2 linked regions of the Styela clava genome follow. The protein of the gene in region 1 binds, or shares a complex with, the protein of each later gene. Links are inferred from orthologs where the notes say so. Each region holds a gene or a part of one and is shown in the gene's direction. Other genes may lie near its edges. The genes, in order: inhibitor of growth protein 5-like and uncharacterized protein LOC144411641.

Region 1 (11,855 bases):
AATTCACGGCGCACTTACACAAATAAAAATTGCTGCATTCGAATAAAACTCAATTTTGTGATGATCGTTAATGTGTTTTTTATGCCCTTTGAAGGTTGTTAATATGTAGGTCGAAGGACGAAAGACAAAAGGTCAACTCTGCCTGATTTTTCTTCGAAATAATAAAAAAAATCACTCATGGCAGTTAAGCTCGGTTTAGCAGATAAATAAACTGCAGCTGGCGAAATAGCGGCAAGCAGTACAGTGAACCGCCTCTCTAACAATTTATTTAACATTTATACTTTTGATTGTGTTTACCATACCGATCGACCTAATACAATTGCGCAAATACAAGGAAACAAGTATAATATAAATATTGGCAGCAGTAACGAACCTTTATCGCGCTTGTTTGCATTCCACATTTCTATGATATTAACATTATTCTATGGTTTACATAAATACATTTCAAATGCCACCACAAAAAAATTTATAAATGTGCAAAGCAAAATATATCAAGAACTCATTTCTAACAATCAATATCAACGAAGTTTATTCAGGATTTAATCCACCGTTATGCGAGAATGATGAACCCAAACGATGCCACGTATACAGGAAGACTGGTAACGCAAGATGCCAAAATACAACACCAGATTCGATGAACTGTAGTCATTTCCGATCGCATAAGGTACAACAACTGCCTGAAAAAATCACATTATTGGTCGGGAATTTAGACTTGGCGGGAATGGAGAAAAGGTTCGACCTGCATTACAGATTTGTTCGCTGTAAAAGGACAAGTCAGTATCATCATCAACTTTCTCACATACATAGTTCATTTATTCGTGATTTATGTTTGTTAAGTAATAAAAGTTCATTGAACGATCAATTTGATTTGTAATCGCCACATAAGGACCGCAGCCACAACTTTTTCGTACTTTTTTAAATTCTAGTTTGTATAAATTATTGCCATGATCTTCTTTTGATCAGTTTCTCACATTTTAAAATTGATTCAAAAGGTATTGCCCGATTTTACATCATGTCTTTATTTTAGTGTGTTCTTTTGTCTGTTTTTGTGTAGATGGGAACGTACTTGTACGTTTTTAACTTTTTCAATAAGTTATGCCCGTTTTCCAGGTCCTCTGCATTTTGTTTGTTCGTTCGTTGTTGTTTTGTTTCTTTCAGAGTGACCAAAAGAAAATTGATTGATTTATTGATTTGTTCATTGTCTATATCTTATATTCCTAATTTTATCAGCGCCTGTTCCAACAACTCCTACGTTAGAAATTGAAACGAGCGCAACATCAATAACAGAAAAGAACGAAGCGAACACGTATTTACCGAAGTCTGGCGTTAGCTTGAAACCCACTGCAAATACATCAGTACCTGTCTTGACATCTACCTTAAGCAATAAAGGTAAGTCTCATTTTTACTGTGCCAGCGATAGTAACGTAAAGATTGTCCATTTCAATTTTGCTGTGAAGTCGGTGCTCAATATATCGCAAACAGGTTTGTCGTTTTTCAATCAGTAATTGTTCAAGTTCAATCTGTGGGCGTGGGTTTGCTGGTTTTTATCCCGAGTATGGTTGTGTGATAATGAGAGAGAGAGAATTCCTTTATTCGTCAACCAGAAAACGTAATGGCGATATATACAAATAATAATAATAAAAAACGACAACATATATTACAGTTCTCGGTATATGAGTGGATTGTAACGATGCGACCCATATACGGTCATCGAAATCGCTTCATACAATTGCAGCGAAATTTGGAGCGATAAACTGGCTTTGTTTGCTATTTTCAAAGCATACCTGAACCAGTGAACGCACAATAGGTTCGAGCCACGTCTAATTGAATTTTCTCTTCTACTCGAAAAACATGACGAATTTTATAATTAGCCAATTATCAACAAATCCGAGCAAAATCCATCTGCATATTTGACGCGCATTACTTGGGATAGGATTTACATATTCATCCCAGGGAGAAAGAAAAGGCGATAAGACGACTTAATGATATAGCGAACCACGGCCTCTCGTCCGGTTACCAGTCCATGTCGGCTATATATGGAATTAGTTGAACCAGTTATTTGTTTATGAAAGCGTGGCACATTTAAATGAGCTCTGCCTTCACGTATAAATTTGACTTCGCTATGCTTGATGTTTAAAAATCTAAAGTAAAGTTTCGATTTATTTTCCAGCGGTCGGAGGAGAAATCACCAATTCACAAAACAAGCCAATATCCGATAATACAAAAAATATCTCAGGATCGTATCTACCATTCATAATTGCCATTGCCATACTCAGCATTATTCTTATCCTCTCGTGCATAGCGATTTGTGTTGGATACTTCAGGTATGTATCCAGTGGTGAGATTCAGGGGATTCGCACTGGCCGCGGACTCGTTATTGAATAATTTCTGTTTTCGACGTTAGAGTTCGGCGATCTCAGCAAATGGCTTAAATGAACGCACCACAGCTGTTATATTTGTGTGACCCTTGTCAATACTCGGATTTATTTAAATCCGACAGTTAATCTTGAAAAAGGCTCTCACATGGTTAAAAATACATAATGTTATTTTGCTCTTTCCGTTGCATTGAATCTTTCGTCATTTTGCCATGTGCTTCCAGTATTGCAAGGCTAAGTGATAGTCGCACTCTCTTTTTGTGTGGCCCAGCTGGTTGACTGAAGTTGGTCATATGGCTCACTGACAAAAAATGTTGCAAACCCCTGGTCTAACGATTTAACGTTCAACTGCTCAGCCATCGCGCCCAATATTTGTGGTATGGGAGTTTTTAAATAGCTTTGCAATTATGTCTACTCGTTTGAAGCTCTTTCTATATTTTTTTAGGTATGTTCGGACAAAGTCTGTTACATCGACATCTGACGCACAAAATGGCGAGATAGATAATCCCGAAGATGGAATTAACGTTTATTCTGAGGTTAAGTTGAACGAAAATTTAGCGAAAGAAGTAAATCCACCAGAACTTGTTCAAAATGTTCTGTACGAATCCTATTAAGTCTCTCCACACCTAAAGTTTTGAAAGACTCGGTATCGGGGTCGCCAAGGACGTACAGTTGAAGTATTTTCAGGAGACGTGTTTACACTTTCACCCCAAATTTCTGATACGCAGGAAGTGGTGGCGTTGACTGTATCAGATTTATATTTTCAAACTTTTCTAATGTAAGTTGACTGGAAGACTCGTCCAACCGATGGATAATTATCTCCTGTGGTTCTTATAAGCAGCCTCAATATTTCATTGTATATATATATATCGAAAAACCGCACATGCAATTAAAAAACTTACATGCCTCGCGTGATTTATTATATATCTTGTCTTATTTCTTGGTCGCTCTTTCTATTTCTTTCTGAGTTGTGTGGCGTGACGCACTGGCCCCGATGTGCGAGATTTTACAACCGTCGCCCACTCTGACCACTCCATTATGTAGATTTTCCGTTGGCATGCCTGCCTGAGTCTTTAAGTTTGTATTTAGACCGTATTATAATGGCAGTGTAATTAGAATGATGATTAAGGTTTCGTTGCTAATCTGGCGGGATTATTCGATATGAAGCGGCACAATCCCTGACACAGTCGATGCCAGCGAGTGCATCGAATTTGAAGCAGCACCGCTTGATGCTTGTAGCAGGCCAGTTATTGGGCAATGTAGAATTATGTTTGAATTTGTACAACTCCATATATATATATACTTTCTTTATTATAGTCTCATACAGTGAGTGATAGCTGGATTTTGATTTTTCATCGATGATTAACGGCAAATATAATTTCTTACCAGCAGGTCTGGATTTGTTACCGGCGCTATACATGTCATAATTGTAGCATCATCACAATCGACTTGTTTCTGTGAAATTTGAAGCTAGCGAATCTATTAATTTATCAGAGCAGAGTGACAGGTAGTCTTCAACAAAAAGATGAGCAAGTTTAAACTCTCGAAGTCTGACTGAAAAAAGTGCTAATTTTGTTTTGTGAAAATACTATCATCTTCATCTTGTTGCTAATTAGGCGTCATCCGTAGAAATACTTCGGATATCAGATGTTCGGCAATTCAAGTTGTGTGCGAGCGATAACTGTTCTATTTTGAATACTTCATTCAGAAATTGCATGGTTTTAGGGATTAATCTAATCTTTGTTTGCTTTCTTTTCTTCTTTTTTTCTTACTTTATCTTTATTTTTTTTTATCGTTCATAGGCACGCATAGGGTGCCAACCGTCCTTCATTTCAAAGGACAATCCTTTATTTGAGATTTTTGTCCTTGTCCTTTTTAAGATGATAATTGTCCTTTATTTTTTCCAACGTCGTTTTGCCCGATAGTTATAGTACTGTGTTTGATATTGTTTCGTTCTTTAATCGCCTCCGTTTCTGTATTTGCAAGCTTTTAATTATTCTTTTTAATTTCGCTTTGGTACGGCACAAATAGCCAATAGCCAAGAAATACCAATTTTATTAACAATTTCAAATATTTTACATTAATTTTCCGAAGATGGCAAGTGGCAACACTCCAAGATTTGAGTAAATTCTAGTTCAATAACTGAAAATTCTACGTATAATTGGTATCTAAGATTTTAGATTATTTCTCAACTCTGCGATAACGTATTTGGAAAAAAGATTTGACTCCGATGAAAATTTAACATTTGGAAAATTATCACTTTTGGATAATCTTTCTCCAAAATATCAGACCCTTGTAAAAATTGTAGAGCATTTGAAGCTAAAAAACAAACTTAATTTGAATATGTTTGACCTATTTGATGAAGTTGCACTCATTCAAAAAAAAATTTGACACGATTCAAAGCACTAAACTGTTCACAGAATGCAGCTTGAATGCAGGGTCAATGTTAAATAAACATTAAATGAAAAACAAATGGAGATTTTTTAGTATATATATCTTTTTAGCTTGTATATAATTTGTATTTCATTGTTTTATATTGTTCTTTCCTGTAAGTTACAAAATAAATGATGATGGTAATCTATGTTCTTTATTGAGAATTTTCATAGTTGGCAACCCTAGGCACGCATATAATTTTATTCGTGTCATATAGGCAAAATAGACTAGCTTACTTGGAAAACGTGTCACCAAATCGAAAAAGTTAGGTCATCTGACCGAAGTCAGGGTATTAGGACTGAGTTACCGGAAGAAAGGAATGAAGATAAGAAGCAAGTAGGCCAAATATGCGTGTATGATTTTTTGAACCTCATTAACCCCAGAAAATTCCTAACCAGAAAAAAATTAGCAAAAATGACTGAAGAATTCTGAAAAGTTGTATGAAGTACTCAAAGCTATCGACGGTAGGCGCATCGTCCCAAGCAATATGCTTGTCATGCGAATAATGAAAAAGTAGTCTCGCCACTTTCTTCTTCTTCGGGATAAATATGAACTTCTATCCTAATAAAAGTGCTCTTTGGGCTTTTGAAACTTTGCAAATAAGAAGCACGCTATGATAACAGTCTTGATGATCTCCCGTTCTGTCTGTGCGTCAAGTGAAATTTATTTTTTTCCAACCAGCAATAAACAATCGCATATAACATTCAGAAAAAAGCGAGATTATCATAAAATTTCACTGAGGAATCGAAGTCGCTGATATCCCACCTATGCACAACATTAGGCTGATATTACATAATTACTGTTTCAATTACCCTTATGTGGTTCTTATGGTTTATTTAATCAACTGTGAGTGTGATTAACATTTATCGATATTGCAATAAATTAATAAATTTGGAAATTTTTGATACTCCTACCACCAAAGTTTACGTTTGGGGGTTACCAAATTAATCCACTGATTTATATATATCTCATGTATTATCATTTATCATTCTGCAAACATTTCCATTCATTTTCTGCTATCCTATCTATGCACAACATTAGGTCTGGTGTTATACCACCCTAGTAACCCAAAACTGCTCCGCTAAGTGACTTTTGAAATTCATATGATGCTCCTTAATATAATTACATTTTCAATTACTGTTAAACGGTTGTTATGGATTATTTAATTAACTGTGAGTGTGATTAAAATTCATCGATATGCGATATCTTGATAGATTTGACCATTTTTTTATACTACTACCACCAAAGTTTACGTTTGGGATAGACTATGAATTATTGCAAGAATTGAAATGGTTTCTGGACTATTGTAACTGTCTCATATTTGTCTTTAATAAATCATATCTGCTTAAATTTGCATATGTCTATTTATGTATTATTGGAGTAGTATTTTTTTATTTTATTTTTTCATAGTGTTAAAATGATGTACTGATTGATTCTCATATATAGGCTCATTTAGAATTAAGTATCTATTTCGGAAACGCACTCCTCTTTTTCTACCATTAAATTAACTTAAAACAAAAACCACATTATGTTACTGTTATAAATGTGTCATTTTTCACAATAAATTCCCAACCCTGATTAGATGAATCCAAAATTTATCCTCGTTCTAATCAGATTTATCCTCGTTTTGTAAATAGTGTAAATAGTTCTCTATAAACTGAGAGTTAAATAAAAAAGAACCTGTGTCAATTTATGTATTTATTCATGTGTTGTATTGGATGGTAACTAACTCAGATGACCGTAACTGGTCGTATCGTTACCTCCCAGTCATACCGAAAACTTTTGTTTCACTTATTTTGTTATTATTATATTTTATATTATGTGTTTTCTGGTTGACGAAATAATAAATTCTCTCTCTCAAAGCGAGGGAATCGAGCAGCCACACCCGAGGTTCTAATATCGTATTAAAAAGATCTGGATTTTTATTCTCGGAACTACCGATGAGCACCGTATAATTTTGTCGAATTAAATACCTACGGTAATATATATTTCTAGAGATTGTCTTCAAGAGCCATCAGACCGCAGACGGACAGGGACATGAATATGTGTATATTTGAAATATTCAGTTATGTACGTACAATTTTAAATTTTTCTAATTCCAAAAAATATTGGAACTGTTGAGTGAAAATCCCATAAAAATTTTAAATTTCAACCAATCATACGTAAATATATACTACTAATTTCAACCAATCATACAATATACGATTTGTCGCAAGGTGGCGTAAGTAGGCCGCGTGTGTGATGATTTAAAATTTGCTCATCGTCTATTTGTGCCTGCAGGCGGGAAGGAAAATTTTTTATTTCTTTATTTTATTCTCAATACTCCGTATGATTATGATGGACAGGTGGTTTTTGTCTGTTTACTGAATTTACATTTCCACGCTGTGGTGTGTATCTTGATTTTTTAAAATTGTAGTTTATGTAGCTCAGTCACAAAATTCAGAAAATTTTAAAGTTAGGTACGGTACCGGCACCGGTACCCGCATTCCAGCATTTTATAATTCCGGTTCCGTTATTTCAGTATTCAGTTATTCTGAAATAATTTGAAATGTTTAGTTAGAAAACTTTTGTTATTCTGCCTGTCATGCTGACTCCCATACTGCCATAGCAAATACCGTACCCGTATGGCCCGGTACCGTACCGTACATAGACTATTTCTGTTTTTCAAGCTTTCGGCGAAATTTTGAATCAATTCTATAAAACTGTCCGAATGCATGGAATGTAAAAAAGTAAAATTGAAATCAGCATATAAACTGTATGAAGTCTGGGGGTCGAGAAGAACTAATGCAGCAATGGTTGACATTGTGGGTTATTTTGGGAAAATACTCATTTCAGTATTTTGATTTCCAATTCGTTTAAACTAATCGATACTGCGATACACAAAAACCAAATGGTTGGGTTCAACATAATTAAAATATTTATGTTAATTTACCGGGTCTGGTGTAGTTTCGTACCTAACGTACTTCTAGCAGGCGTAGCATAACAATTTTTTCACATGTCAATCCTAACCCCCACCCAGTACGGCACGCTATACAAATCGGGTGACAGTGTCCCGTTTCAGAGAAACCCATTTTACAGATGATCAGACGCCCCTTCTTTGGGAGACGTTTGGACATTGTTGTCCCTCAATATCGGTAATATTACAGTATAATGAAGTTGCGCGAAATACTACAAAAAAGCGCACTTTAGTAACGTCATCATTGAATTCCTGGGAAAAAAATAATCCGATTTTCCGAAGGAAAAAATTTTTTACCGTAGCATTCGAGAGTTTTTAGCAAAAAACGGTAATTTTGGTCATCTGACGGTCACGATTAATTTAGATTTTTATTGAGACAAGCATGGCACGATATGAAGCATCTGACATGGTCCCAGACGCTCCTCGTTTGTGAGACACATAGAGTGTTTGTTTTATTGAGCCAAATGGAGGGAAATTCTTGAAATTTGGATAGTGTGCTGTACTGCCACCTGACCACACCATCCAAAAATTACGTCACCACGACGTCACAGTGACGTAATAGAGCCCTTCAAATTATGCGGACTGTCATCCAAGACGCGCAAACGACTGTTAGGAGAGAGATCGCTGACGTTAGTCAGTTCTTTATCGTCGGCGCCGATGCCATTTCGGGCGATCGTACGAGTATTTGACAAGCTCTATGACGTGAAACTACACGAGACCCAATTTACCCATACTGGCATACAAGAGTCGATGGTCTGACATTACAATATTGTAAAAAATAGGAAATCAATTCAATCTGTACTGATGTATCACAATCACTGAATTATTTTGCAACTGATTCACCGTCCCAGATTCAATTTTCACAAATTTATGGAGATGAATACTGGAGTATAAATTCATTTGTTCAACGTCATTCAATTTAGTGATTGAGAATATATTTCATTTCGGAATAAATATCATATATTATTCGATTATGGTATCTCTTTTTTCATGCAGAGTTTCGTATTTGAAGAATTATAGATGAATTACCAGTACGACACAGTTCCTTAATTCCAAGAATAGCCTCCACATTAAAAATCAATTTAAACAATGAGTACAAACTCCTTCTTTTCAAGACAGTCTAGGCCTCCAAACACGCACTGTGCAACAAAACTAAATAAATATAAGCGCAATCTAAAAACATTAACGTTGGATTCTTAAAAAAAAGTCGAGTTTTTAGCAAAAACTGCAATTTTGGTCATGTGACTGACGAGGCACGTTGCGTTTGATTTAATTTAATATCGAGACAACAGACGAGCATGGCACGATCTGATGCATCTGCATTCTATGCGTAGTTTTGTATTTTTATAACTATCAATAAATTTTTTTTTTCAACTTTATCATTTTATTTTATTATCAGCTAGAATAATATATAAAGTATCAAAGATGGCTACCGCAATGTATCTGGAGCAGTATCTTGACAGTCTGGAAACATTACCTGCTGAATTGCAAAGAAATTTCCAACTTATGCGTCAGCTTGATGAAAGATCAGAAGAATTAAAAGTAGATATTGATAATCTAACGATGGATTATGTAGAAGAAGCAAAAAATCTACCACCAGATGTCAGAGTTGAGAGTATCAAAAAAATTCAAAATTCTTACGCTAAATGTCGTGAGTTTGCTGATGACAAGGTTCAACTTGCAATGCAAACGTACGAAATGGTTGACAAACATATCAGAAAATTAGACTCGGATCTTGCAAGATTCGAAGCTGATTTGAAAGAGAAATCTATTCATGATTCAAACGTCGCTGGGACTTCGAAAGCTGATACAGACAGCGGTCCTTCAGATAAAAAGCGTCGCAAGAAAGGACGAGCCGCGAACTCCGAGGACGAATCAAAATCGAGCAAAAAGAAACATAAATCCGGACTAGATCAATCATTGTCTTCTGTACCTCTCGTCTCTGGAATATCTGCGTACTCGAGTTCAGATGTTCTAGATATGCCTGTTGATCCAAATGAACCAACGTATTGTCTTTGTCACCAAGTTTCTTATGGTGAAATGATTGGATGTGATAATCCAGATTGCCCCATCGAGTGGTTTCATTTTGGTTGCGTTAATTTAACATCAAAACCAAAAGGAAAATGGTTTTGTCCGAAATGTCGTGAAGAGAGAGATAAAAAGAAACGATAGCTTTTATTTTCACCGAGAAATTTTAAAAATTACTCACTGGTAATATTCAAACGTAAATGTTTTTATGTTCAAAACTAAACTCACTGCCAGTTTTCATAGGCAGTTTGTTAGTAATTATTTTTCTATATTATCTGATAACTGCCAGTGGGTATTAATATTTAGATTTTGATTACTAGTCAAAAATATTTTGTATCAAGGCAACAATATTTTCAGAAATGATAAATATAAATTAACTAAAATGATTCATCCTGATATTCTGAGAATCAAATGCTCCGGATTCGAAGCTGTGTTTTCTTGAGCAAGTTTCCACTTCGTAATTTCACATTTTGCTATTTTGTCAACTTCCACTGCTCCACCACATTCATAAAAAAGGTGTATTCAAGTTGACTGTGTCTTAAACCGTGAGATGTAAAGAGCTACAGTTAATTGCACTTTTGGCGCTTGGTGGGTGCTGGTGAACACTGATTCTAATGAGCTGCTTTGTTCTTCGCTGAATATCTAAGTTCTCTGCATCATTATTTTATTGTATTTGTTGATTTTCACCCAAGGCAAGGCCGAAGATGCTGGAAAGAAAAAGCTAACTTAAAATGTCTAGAAGTGAGATGCAAATAGCTATTTCTTTTGTTTAGTGCTTGCTAGACGATGGTGAAAAATCATTTCCGTTAAACTGCCAAGTTGTTTTCGAAATATATGTTTATACTTGAATTGAATTCATTTATCCCTTGCAACATTTTTTATTGTATTTGTTGATTTTCATCATATATAATATCTTTATGTCTCATTGTTTTTGATATTTTCTCAGCCATAACATAATTTAAGTGATAATAATTTAGTGTAAGGAACAATCGAAATGGCTGATGTGCTAGATCTACATGAAAGCGGAGAGGAATTCGCCGCAGATGAGGAAGGAGATGTCGGAATTGAAAGATTGAAAGATCGTGCGAAGCGCAGAAAAGGTCGTGGAATTGGGGATTCTGAAAAAAGAACTGAAATCAAGTATGAAGCAATGGAAAGTGATCAAGATGGGCCTGGACCTCAACGATCGGTTGAAGGCTGGATTTTATTCGTTACTGGCGTGCACGAGGAAGCAACGGAAGACGACATGTTCGATAAATTTGGAGAATATGGAGAATTAAAAAATTTACATCTAAATCTTGACAGAAGAACCGGATATTTAAAAGGATATGCCCTCGTGGAATTCGAGACTTTTAAAGAAGCACAGGCTGCTCTTGATGCATTGAATGGGAGTGATTTACTAGGCCAAACGATGTCAGTAGATTGGGCTTTTGTTAAACCGTCCCAAAAAGATAGGCGGGACCGTAGGCATCGTCGTCGTTGAAAATATTAAAACGATAAATCTATGCTCGATGGTGCTGTGTGTAGTAATAAGACAAATCTGCTCAATAAACTCAAACTAAAGGCTACACTATGATCATGCTTGTCCTTTCAAGTTTAATATTGAACTGAGCGTTTTTCCCAACTCTGCTCATTATTTAGGATATTTTAATCTGTTATAATTGATTTTGGAAAAAACGTTTTGTTATAGTATCTAAATTCCAGGATTGAAAATAGTTGAGCTAAATATGTGCTGCTTCATTTTTTCTATCTCTGCCCAGATTTTAGGATGCTCTTAGCAATGACGATCAGGTCTCAATTTTTTTTCTTTATTTGAAGTTCTGAAATAATGTCGCTAAATCATGTAGCAACAACTTAGCGCCTTGATTTTTAATCAAAAACTGAGATTTCTGAGATAAAATTGTATCACCATTCTCACTGTAGTTTGAGATAAACTTGGTATGTTTTTGAATATTTCATTGTCTTATAATGGCATATTTTAAAATAGATCAAAATTAATGAGAACTCATTTGAGTTGGTCAATGAAATTGCAACACTATGACACCCAGTATCAATTCTTGGGG
Region 2 (12,439 bases), about 5.7 Mb from region 1:
GGGCCTTGTAGGGGGAGACATCGACCCCATGGTATGTTTGTTGGAAATATCTATAAGCAGTAAAACTAGTTTACTTATTATTTGATTGGCATGGCCTTGTTTAAGGCACTAAACTTACATTTTCCAATTTTTATCAATCTCTTGCTGAGACCTGTTCATATGTATATAATGAACGGCCATTTTTTTTTCTAAGTTCGACTGTTAGTGTTAGCCAATTGAAATTTTTACTTTTTGTTACATCAATGTTATTTAAATAATTATAATGAGGTACAAATATATCAAAAATGCTACTGGTGCTTGGAATCATTTTTATTCATTCATTTTGTTCATTTTTAATGATTTTTGATGTTGTTTAGAATCTCTTTTCATATGGTGATACTGATGGTAAAGGTAGAGAAGCAAAACTTCAACATCCTATAGGTGTAGCATGGGATCATAAGCGGGATTTATTATACATCGCAGATACATATAATCATAAGGTACAAATTTTAAAAAAAGGCATTTTTGAGTAAAATGTTCTAAAATTGTAAAATTGATGTGGGATAAACGATATTTTTAATTCATGGATAAATTTTAATTCAGGGAGGTTGTTTCTCATCTCTACTTCCTCGGATTATAAATGTATCATGTCATGCCATGAATATATCAACTATATTCAACATTTTTCTCTGAAATTTATATTAGATGGTAATTTGCTTCTGAATATCTAATATCAATCACAAACGTAACACAGTTTTGAAAAAGAAATATAGGTGTAATACAGACCAAAATGAAAAACAGAATCCATGTCATTTGGAGCATTATAGAGGAATACAATCATACACAAACAGAAGTTCAAGTTTGTATTTTCTTCATTTTCATAGCAGTAATCAGGAAATTTATGGGTCCTGTTTTTTCAGTCACCCTGCATAAGAAATTTAAGATCCGAATTCCTATTTTTTTTTTCAGATAAAGATTCTCAATCCGAAAGAAAAAACATGTAAAACCATGGCAGGTAATGGAAGGGAAAATTTGATACTCAATGAGCCAAGTGGGCTTGCATGCGATCCAGCTTGTGAGAATTTGTATATAGCTGACACGAACAATCACAAAATTAAAGTTATTTCACTGAGCAGTGAAGAAACAAATTCTGTAAGTTGTCATGGTAGCAGTAAATCTAGTTGACACTTAAATTAACAATAGGTCCCGGTTCTGTCAGGACTTCAAGGATTTGTATGGTATTGGCTAGCTAAGATTGGTACACTCTGCTTAGCCCTAATAACACCTAAACCAATGCAAATTCCAGCTGCGATGCAAAGACTCCTATCCTACTAATATGAGCGCATTTTGAAAGCGGCAACTTATGCCTATCAGGATATGCCTTTTGTAATAGTGAAATATGAGTAAAGCTGCATACATGCATCTTGTTAAAATAGCTGTCATAGTACTCAACTTTAATAGCTACTTTTTCACAGTCTTTTTTTATGTGAAATCATAGCAAAGTTATTGCTACTATAAAATTTATTGTTGCATTTCCTCAAGGCTTTGTTTCAATTCAATATACGAATTTTCCTACAATTCAGGTTGATTTCAATATTGAAAAGTATTTTGAAAACCTTTCAATTGATGAGTTTGATGGACCAATAAAAATGTCAGTGAAACCGTTGACCAGTAAAAAAGTCAATGCAATTATATTGGATCAGAGAATTGTCAATTACAACGGAACGATCAATATCAGTGTTACATGCCCTGGTTTTCATCTGAATCCAGATGCTCCGTCTGTGTGTCAAATAAGTTACAGTTTTGACAAAAGTCCTAACTTAATTTATCTTCTTCAGTCTGAAAACTTTAACATATCCGGAAAAGGTGTTTATTCATTTAATGTTAGCAAACTCGAGCCATTGCCGAAAGGCATTAATTCTATTCAGCTTAACATTTTCATTGAAAGTGTTTTATACTACTGCCAGGATGACTCTGGCATCTGTAAGATGCACAGTTATAAGGCTATACTGCCTTTGCTGGTTGACTCCAGTTCTGAGGCAATGTCGACTGAAGTTACTTTGGCCATTTCTCAGTAAATACCATGTAAATGGCATTACCCTTTGTACCAATTTACCCCTTTAAATGCACTTATTAACAAATTTTTGCCATTTAACATTGTGGTGTTTAAATAAATTGCCCTGCCAGCTGCCAATACTAACTATAGGTTGATAGATAATTCATTCTATTATTACTTGCACATTAACTTACCTAATGATAGTCATGTTTTTCAAGTGTTACCTTTTCTTTTGAATAAAACTTAAAAACACCGTCTTTGTTATGTTAGTATCCAATAAAAAGATCGCTCAGAAAATAATTTTCTTGAGAGAAATCTTCAACAGTTGTCAACTGACACTTCGCACATTTATGATTTTTTTTCAATTATAAATTTTTATATTTCAAATGCTGAATACAATTGTCAAATACTACAAATAGGCCGCGAGCCGAGGCCCTGAAAAACGCCTAGAAAGTGAGTTTCGTAGCGCACATCAGGTAATTACCTGAAAATGATTTTAAAATGTTCCTTAAAAATTTAGTAACAAATATTGCTTTGCCACTTCCAAAAGTTGCACGTTTTATGGAAAAGACGCTTTTACTGCAAGAAATATGTGCTACGATCTGTCCTATATTCTCTACATTTTCGGCAATGACTTCTGCATGACGTCACAATTGAATCGAATCAGCTGTTAGCGAGCGGATGAATATTAGTTATTACTGCTCGACCTTGCGTTGAGTTGGGCAGCCTTTCCATAGCCCTGTTTAGTTATTGGACACGTAGTGGACATAACGATCGTTTCAATATTATGTTGTTGTTCTTGTTCTTTGACACGTTTTTAAAAAGTCGCTTTTTTCTTCGAATACTGGACCAATTGCTTTGAAATTTTCAGTGGTTAAAGATTAATTTTTTCGCTAGAAGGCTATTACTTTTATTTATTTCAAAATTTTGCGTGAATTCTATGAAATTTGATATTTCGTCTAAAATTTTGCTGTATCATTTTTTATCCATGGGAACACGGATTTTAGTCAGTGTCATGACTGGCTGTACGTTTTGATTCTGCAAAATTCTTGCTACTGGAAATTCAGAACTTTTTTGAGGGTACCGGTAGCGTCAAAGGTACCGGTAAGGACTGATTCGCTCTGGTCTGACGTGTCCATATATTTGTGCGTAGCTCTCTTGTTATTAGTTGAGTTATCCTGAGACGTTGTTTAAAAAATGTATAAGTAAGTTATTAAACACTTGCAGATCTTTACCACCGATATGGGCCGTGAGACGAAGCCTTGAAAACGCCCAGAAAATGAGTTTCGTAGCGCACATCTGGTAACTAAATAAATTCGTCAATTTTGTGTGAAAATGAACATACTGAACTCATTACAGCTTGTTCCACAATCCTGATGCAAAATTGAATATAAGAGGTTCCCGGAAATTCAATAACCATAAGTTTACAACACATACATAAAAACTATGCAATTCGAGAGCCCTACAGCACACTAACACAAATGTATTCCAGTAATGTTTTTCCTATCAAAATCGGACTTCCTCAGTCAATCATAATTTAATAGGTAGATTACGAAAAATACTTTAATTGTGTGACAGGAGTCGCGAGTGACCTCGAAAGCAGCGACACCAACAACGCTGATTCACATTAGCGAATAAATTTTATGTAATAACCACAAGCAGTTTACAACAAGAACAGCATAAAAAGCTACATCCTTTTTATAGAAGCTATCAAACGTAATCATTTTTGAGCAATGAAGTCACAAATTAACATCGTGAGCACGAAAACACAAATAAATCAGTTATTTCTCACTTAGAAATTTAACGGAAAAGTCAAGAAAATTAAATGAATGTACAATATGTACATAACATAGTGAACAGAAATATAACAATTAGTCTTTTTTCAGTTTATGTGGTTATGTATTTGAACAAAGGCAATATTATTTCTAGAAACAGAACTACGACACTAACAAATGTCCGAAAAAAAAATGATAGGCCCTACTTAATAAATCAACTGCAATATCTAATTCACTTTCCTCTGAATTGTTTTCGAAATCCACTCTCGAAAATCGACTTTTCCTATATAAGTGTACTGTGATTTTTGCAGTACAAAAACAAAAATCTGTGCAATTTAAGTTGATTTTGGCACACTTGCATAAATTATTTTGACTATTTTTCTTACACTTGCAGTTTGCCAACTCAAGAACTGATTTGAGGGCCACATGCTTCTTCAGTGAATCCTTATGTTTGTCAGTGTTAAATAGACATGCCCTGGCCCCTGGTATCATTTACATTCTTCATATCCCCATAGTCTACAGCAGGGGTTCCCAAATCCGGCCCGCGTAACAATTTAAAATGGCCCGCCGAACTTGAGTAAAACGATGTTGTTATGTCATTACCACAGTTTAAGCATGTGTTTATCGCGTAACAATTCAAATATGCCGATATCTCAATAATACGTACCGGTATTACCATGTTTCCCCAAAAATAGAACAGATTATTTCAATTTTCTTTCGAAAAATATACCTAGGGCTTATTTTCGGGGCGTGTCTTTTATTTTCATGAGTCAAAAAAAAATTACAAAGATTTTCAAATATAAAAAATATGAAAACCAATATCCATTTACTTAAATGGCACGTATTCCTCTTTCACACTTGTTAAATTAATCATTTACAACGTGTATGGGAGATTTCCTGCTATCGACTAGGTGCTACTGACTATACGTCTTATTTTACGGTGAGGCTTATATTATAATCATTCTTAAAATTCAGGCTAGGTCTTATTTACGGGATTGGTCTCATTTTCAGGGAAACACGGTAGGATTACAAAGAGCAGTAATTAAGTTATCAGCCATATAAGAAAGCTTACAGATGTCAAAGAAACAAACAAAACTAGACTTTACAAATAGACGTTTCCGGGATAAATGGTAGCTTTCATATTTTCGTATTGCAAAGAATCAAACTTCAGCGATTTGTCTTTCTTGCCAATGAAATATTCCAGTTCTGAAGGAATACGACATAAAGCGCCATTGTGAGTCAAACAAACAGATTGCAAAAAATGTCAAATGGAAGTGAATCCACTGAACCCCAGCTAAACCGCCGCGAACTTTCGGGCGCTAAACTCTTCCGGCCCGCGAACATTCTCCCGATTCTAAATTTGGCCCGCGTCCAATAAAGTTTGGGAACCCCTGGTCTACAGTGAACAAACAAATTCCTCAGCTTTATTTATTAATGCCTCATTAACCTCAAAAGATCTTCATAGTTGAGAAAAAATTAATTGAAAACCTCAATGAAGTCTCCAACATGAGTTTGATGGGCAGTTTCAATTGCAGAAAAGTGCTAAAGTATTTCAATATGAATAGCCCATCTAAGCTGTTTGCAACTATTATGATTCTCATATATCTATACTCTTCAAGACTTCTTGTTTAATCCATTTTATAGCACTGATAGCAGCAGGGATTAGAGCCTGCGTTAGGTCGGATTGGTGAAACATTGCCGTTTTCTTTTATAGTACAGTATCTAAAATGAGGAAGAAAATCATATTTGGAACAGCATGAGTGTAAAAATACCACTAAATACTAACTAATACCTTGAATACATAATGCATTTTATCTGATGTACTCAATGAGCGTATATATGCTCATTGCATGTACTACAGTCCAGCAGTGTTTGCATACCATTACTAGACTATATCTCCACTAAATTATGATATATCACAGTCTGAAATGCCCTATGACAGTATGAGTATGGACTATAGACTATATTTTAAAACATCAACTGTCTGTCTACAACTTGGTTTCTCACCTCTAAATCGTTTCCAATGCTACTTTCTTTCTTTCCTTCCCGGCATAACTTATCATTGCTTCCCAGGTTCTTGTCGACTCTATGAATTTAGATTTAAACCAACCGACATTAGTAAAATTGATTATTTTCTTCTCTTTCACACAACTGTGCATTACAGAAACAGCCATTAATTTCTATTTCCAAATATGCTGTGGCCTATATAGTAGTAGTATAAGTCTGCTGAATAGTCAAGAAGAGTCATTAAATTAATCATAAACATTTCACGTAAGCCAGAAAATATCGTTGTTTGTGACCTATTATTCTAGGTCTAGCCTTTCTTGGAGTTACCGCACCGTACCAATTTATCAACGTGTTATGAGCTAGTGCTCAACTAAAATTGCTATTTATGGTAAGGATATACAAGTGTTTAATATCTTGCCGTACTTATAGTTTTCAACACCTCTTTAGAATAACTAAACTAATAATAACTGAAAAAAACTATGGAAAGGTTACTGAACGCAAAAGCGAGCAGTAGTAGTACATCTGATATTCATCCGACCACTGGGGATCCACCTACAGCTGACTAATTTGATTGTTACGTCATGTAGAAGTCTGCGTTTATTGGCCCATGATACCGGAAAAGCAGAGAAAATAGGACAGATGGTAACACATATTTATTGTAGTAAAAGCGTCTTTTTTGTAAAACGTGCAACCACCTACAGCTGACTAATTTGATTGTTACGTCATGTAGAAGTCTGCGTTTATTGGCCCATGATACCGGGAAAGCAGAGAAAATATGACAGATGGTAACACATATTTATTGTAGTAAAAGCGTCTTTTTTGTAAAACGTGCAACTTTTGGAAGTGGGAACAAGGCAATATTTGTTACTAAATTTCTAAGGAACATTTTAAAATAATTTTCAGGTAGTTACCTTATGTGCGCTACGAAACTGAAAGATAAATTGCCTCGGCTCGCGGCCTAAAAAGACCCTATTTATTTGCATCTCTTCAGGGTAGTTATGAACGTTTTGTAGAGAGTTGCACTGTGAGATCCAAAACTATGGAATCAATATGTTTAACTCCTCTCAATTTGTTGTATAATCTTTCGCATGTAGTTCTGCCGACTCCATTTTTTTTATCTCGCAGGATAGGATTTTCAAATTTCTTCTGGAAAAGAGAGACATAGGTGTGGCCAGGGAGGGCGGTGGCCCCCATTTTTTTTTTGAGAAGCTATTTTACAGCATCTAAAGTGGCGCATAAATTTGTATGTCTCTTTGTCAACACCATTTTTCTTAGGCTCACTATCTATAATCCTTCATTCAAATGAACCAACCGGGATGAATGAAAAAACTTAGACAGCGAAGCAAGTTTGTGGAGATATTCTTCAATATGTTATGTTGTTAGATATCTGCTTTCATCTTCGGCAAAACGAGCCATCCTGTGGCGGCGGGGCACCTTGCACTTACCCAAAGTGTCTATAAGTGTTATAGTCACCTTGCACTCACCGTAATTATGCAAGACTCCTTACAACAGAATGGTATCAATTGAATTTTTGCGGCCGCCCAGACAGATATTCCAGCGTGGGTGAAAACGATGCCTCTTTTTTCAAGTGCAGTTTCAAGTATTCTGTGGCATCTGCAGCTGCCGCAAAACCATGGCGGTATTTTCATACCATGGCCGCTACGGCCAAACTCATGGCAACTGACTTTTTAGCTGCCACAAACCAATGTCGAGCTGCCGTCACCGCGGCAGGTGGGCCGTAAAGACTGGGCTGTCTATTATGGTGACAAATATTGGGTAAGTTGGAACGTTTTTCTTATGGATACAGTTTTGATTGATTTGGGGTTAGGGTTAGGGTTTAAGTAGATATAATTCCACATGATCAATTAAAATCTGGTACATTAATTTGTGAATATACCGTTAATACTGATTACTGAATAGCGCTATAAAACCATGGCAAGAGCTGCCGCGGTTCGTTCGTGGCAGGAGCTGCCATGAAGTGGTAAGAACTGCGCCTCTTTTTTTGTGATTTTGCGTATTAGTTTTCAGTTGTGTTTCCAAAAATTAGTTGTAAATCAAATAGTACCGTATAAAAGTCGTTATGCTTTCCACAGAGCTTTAGTTTAGTTGCAATAATCAAAAATTAGTCTCGAAAAAGCTGCGATGGTCTACCGTACCGGCACCGGTACGTACAGGCTGACAGGGCTAGGCTAAAATTAGATACCGGTATCTGTGAGCGGCACGTGGTTAATTGTTTTTAACAAAAATAATGCTTTTGAACATATAGGCCAGTCTAACAGTATAACAAGTTTATTTATAAGTGCAAACTCTTCAAAAAAAATCCAATTCAGCGTCAAAAAATTAGGGAGAATATTTTTGGGGCCACTGGGTCAAGGGTAGGGGAAAACCTCAATCGTAGAAGCTTATGATAGTCTATGTATTTTCAGTTTGACTCGACTCAACCCAACCTACCAATTTTATTCATTACTTGAAATATAATACGGTATCAGAATATAGGGCAATAATTCTGTTTTTTTTTAGGTCTATCATTGAATAATAGTGTATCGCATATATTTAGTCCATGAGTATTTAGGTATTATAAAAGTGTAATTTATTTTTGGCGAAGTAATAGTTTAAATACGAATGATATCAAAATGGGCAAACATAGGCACATATATGACAAAGTTATAAAAAATCATAATGCATAATGGGTTGCCACTTTGGTATGCGACCTCACTTGTTCAGTGTGATCTCAATTGTATACCAAAGTGGTGCTTCATTCAGACATTCTCATATATTTCAGCTCTTAACCCTAACTAGAATCACTGCTGCACTGAGATCACATAAATGTTGATAGATAGATAATGATTTATTTCCGATACAAGTACATAATACAATAAGCATGAGCAAATAACAATATTTGCTGTATAATATATGTTGAAATCCCATACCAATATAACACCCAATTTTCTTTGGCCATTATAGCTTTTGCTTCAATATAACCTAAATCTAGGTGCTTAGTCTTTCTAATTCAATAATTGATTCAAAAATCTGAAAATTTGGAGCAGGCTAATCATTTGCACTTTTAATTATTTGATATTTCATTTCTGAATGATTTTCATTTTAGCTTGGGTTAAACCTGCAAACCAAAGAACAAGATTTTCATATGGTAGTTAATATGTCATACAGTCATATGTCTTCTGTTTCAGTTTTCAATATGTCTAATAAAAACCAAGGATCCAACACCAGAGCAGAACTATCAGAGTTAGTAAAGCGAAAAGAAGAAATAACTGAAACTTTAGCAAATCTTGAGCGCCAAATTTACGCTTTTGAAGGAAGCTATTTGGAAGATACTCAACTCTATGGAAACATCATTAGAGGATGGGACAGATATTTGACAAATAATAAAAACACTAATAGCAAATCAGATCGTAGAAACAGAAAATTTAAAGAAGCTGAAAGACTTTTTAGTAAATCTTCAATCACATCTGCGGCGGCTGTAAGTGGAGTGGATTCTCGAAAAGATGGAGACTCTAGTTCAAGCAAAGAAAAACAATCTAGAGAAAATGGAGGAAACAAACTGTTAAAACGTTCAGATTCAAATGGCAAAATTTCCACATCGAGTGTTAAAAATAAAAATAACTCGGAAGATGGATATAGTTCTGTCAGTACCCAAGACTCTGCATCTGCAAGCAAAGATAAAAAGCGTAAGATTCGGCAGAACAAGGTCGACAAATATGGTAAAAAATCACGCTCTGGGGAGAGCTGATATTATTTTGCTGCCTGCTGTGGTTCATAAATTTGACTTAATTTCCTGAATTTATTGTTGACTGTGAAAAGTTTGAAAATACGACCAGCCAAAACTATTTAAAATTTAGGATTTTTCGTGATTAATCATATGGGAGGAACTCTCTCTATCTTGTCCAGTCACCATGTCAGTCAGGGGTCAACCAATCAATCTTTCCTTGGATGTTGGAGGAAAACCTACTCAGCCAATGTATGGATGCATGAACTCTATCGATGAGTCCAGAAAGACTTTGCATCCATCTATTTAACTATACCAGATTTTACATTGAATTTATCCTGATAGAAGTAGAAAACACATTCATTGCTTTTTGCTCTTATTAAAATTTCAGTCTGCAAATGTATATTTGCCATATTTTTTTTAATTGTTAATTTTAGAATATGGCCATCCCTGGTATTTCTGAAACTCTGTAAAAGCCACTCAGATGTACCGGTAGTACTACAATAACCTTATCAACATACCTTTGGTGTGTGTGACTGTGAGACGTGGATTTACTATTAACAATATAACAAACTGTACAATTGTTGGTAAGAAATCAATCTGAATTGAAGAATCCGGTTGATGCTGCATATTTTTATAAATTTTGTCCTTTTCATATTATCAATTGTGCCTGTGTTTCATTATCGATATTCGATGTTTTTGATTTATATAGTGACTAACATTATTAGATTGAGTCTAGCTTAATGCTCAGTTCTTGAAAATGACTCCTACAGATAAATCAAAGAAATCATACATGAACATTGTGAAAGAGTGGTTTACAAATTCATCGAAGAGGTAAGCTATGTGTTTGTGTGAATTTTCTATCTCTGCCAGGTTGTAATAAATTCGGTAGGCAATGCCGAACCAAGTAGGTAGATTACAGTCCTTCCAAACTATCATAGTTTCTTACATTTTAGTGTCCTTGTTCATGGAAAAGGCTGATGGGTCACCCAAAAAAATCTTCAACATAGCTGCGAAATTTGATTATAGCGCTACTTTGGACCATCTTGCAAGAAAATTCTATAAACATAAAATTCTTTTAATGAAAAATGAGTCAACATAGATGCATTCGTTAATTTGAAAGTTAATAAGATCTTATATTGAAAAACTACTTTGTTTTGATATTGCAGGAAATTCCTTATCAACATCGCACTTTTTGGCGCAGGCGTTTTATTGACAGGATCATTTGAAGACCTGACTTTTGAATCTCTTCCAGCACCTGCTGTCAAATAAGTTCGGGATATAAACTGTCATACCATGGACAAATTATGTTTGCTGTTTGGTTGGAGTGTTGCAAGATCTGTATTAATTTTGCTGGAAGACTTGGATGATGATTTAGCTTTCAATTATTTTGTTTCAATTAACGGACTTACTTTTTTTGTTCACACTATTGATGCTACTATATCTAGCTTGACTTATGAAAATCCAGCAAATATACCGGAGCCAATTTTACATGGGTAATTAAAAACACATTCTTATATTTTGATAGGATATCCTCATAAACCTTTTGCTTTATTTTCGTAGCGCACTACATCAGCAGTGTGACTATGGATTTTATACTTCATACAAATTTGGCTTGAAGTTTATCATTTTTATGAAATATAAATGGGAATTAATAATTAGAGGAATAGGAGCTGGAAGCACTAGAATTCCTGCTAGCTTTGGCTCCATCTGGGTGTTTTTATCAAAAAATTTTCGCTATGCTCATTCTGATTTTTTTAGTTTCAGTTTAGCTGGAGGATCTCCAGGTGCAAGCTTAGCCATGGTGTTATTACAAAATAAGCGACATTATCACAAATACAATTTGACACACATGACTATCTGTGTGGCACAAAGCTTGATGTTGATGTCCATGATAAAGTTCAAACATGGTTGTTCAATAGAAGTTCAACTCTCTGAGACAATGGATGAGTTGCGATACACCTTTAACATGATATGGAATAACTTGTTGTCCAGGTTTTCATGGAATTCTCAGAAGCATAAACATCCTCATCATTCAGCAGCAAGATTTTTAAATGTTTTATTAGATCATTTCAAATAGATCTCTTGTTTGAAATTTACTTCATTGAATGAATGTTGGGGGGATACTCCAGTCAACCACTTATCGACCCAGAATTGTATTTTTAAATTCCTTGTCGATGGTTGTTGTTGTCAGGCAACGGTGCAACCAGCGTTTTCAAAACGGGGGGGGGGGGGCTCAAATCTGAATTGTCGTGGAATGGCATCCGCAAGAAGTTGCACTACCCATTTTTAAAGTCTTCTAATCTGGGTAAACTGCCTGGTTATATCTGGTTTTGATTCACATCTTGCGACACTGACTTCCTCTTAAAGATATCACGGTTGGAAAAATGTCGATTAATCATATTACATTATTTAGCTAGTGGCTAGACAGGCGGCATTGCCTGGTACAACTCATCATAATGTTGGCAATGCAAATTCCGGGAGCGTCATATCGATAAAAATGAATCCCTGATTTTGACGAAACTGGTTATGTGAAAGTGCATTCTATAGACCAGGGGTGGGCAACATACAGCCCGCGACGAGATTCTGACCGGCCTGCTGACTATATCCAACCACACTCTCTAATGTGGTCCGACGCATCATTCCTGAAAGTTGCCGATCGCTCTACTGTCACCGCACTGTTAGTGCGAGCTGGGGAAATAAACAATTGCGTTAGCACACTTTTCAAACTAACAATATAAGTTCAAAGCAGAGCGCGTGCGCGTCGCATACATTCCTACTTCTGTTATCAGGTATATTTATAATTAGATTTTATATTAAGTTTTATTAACCATGAAATATTCCAAGAAACGTGAAGTTGACAGAGTGTCGAGCATTTAACAAAGATAGGTATTTTTT

The links.
Region 2: inhibitor of growth protein 5-like (region 1) and uncharacterized protein LOC144411641 share a complex: the UniProt entries of both Drosophila melanogaster proteins name them as parts of the enok complex. The link is inferred for Styela clava from reciprocal best matches to the Drosophila melanogaster genes Ing5 and Eaf6.

What each region holds. Positions count from the first base shown.
Region 1 is NC_135251.1:10,583,702-10,595,556, forward strand, and holds inhibitor of growth protein 5-like, read left to right. Parts: upstream 1-9,146; 5' UTR 9,147-9,189; coding exon 9,190-9,936; 3' UTR 9,937-10,738; downstream 10,739-11,855. Other genes in the region: uncharacterized protein LOC120336283, read left to right, coding at 528-773, 1,231-1,389, 2,171-2,324, 2,821-2,989; RNA-binding protein 8A-like, read left to right, coding at 10,787-11,275. UniProt on the Drosophila melanogaster protein: Component of the Enok complex which has a histone H3 acetyltransferase activity.
Region 2 is NC_135251.1:16,250,097-16,262,535, reverse strand, and holds uncharacterized protein LOC144411641, read left to right. Parts: upstream 1-7,475; 5' UTR 7,476-7,593; intron 7,594-9,005; 5' UTR 9,006-9,013; coding exon 9,014-9,565; 3' UTR 9,566-9,603; downstream 9,604-12,439. Other genes in the region: NHL repeat-containing protein 2-like, read left to right, coding at 1-31, 357-479, 949-1,131, 1,563-2,057; uncharacterized protein LOC120336316, read left to right, coding at 10,838-11,037, 11,303-11,621. UniProt on the Drosophila melanogaster protein: Component of the Enok complex which has a histone H3 acetyltransferase activity. Might be involved in transcriptional activation of selected genes.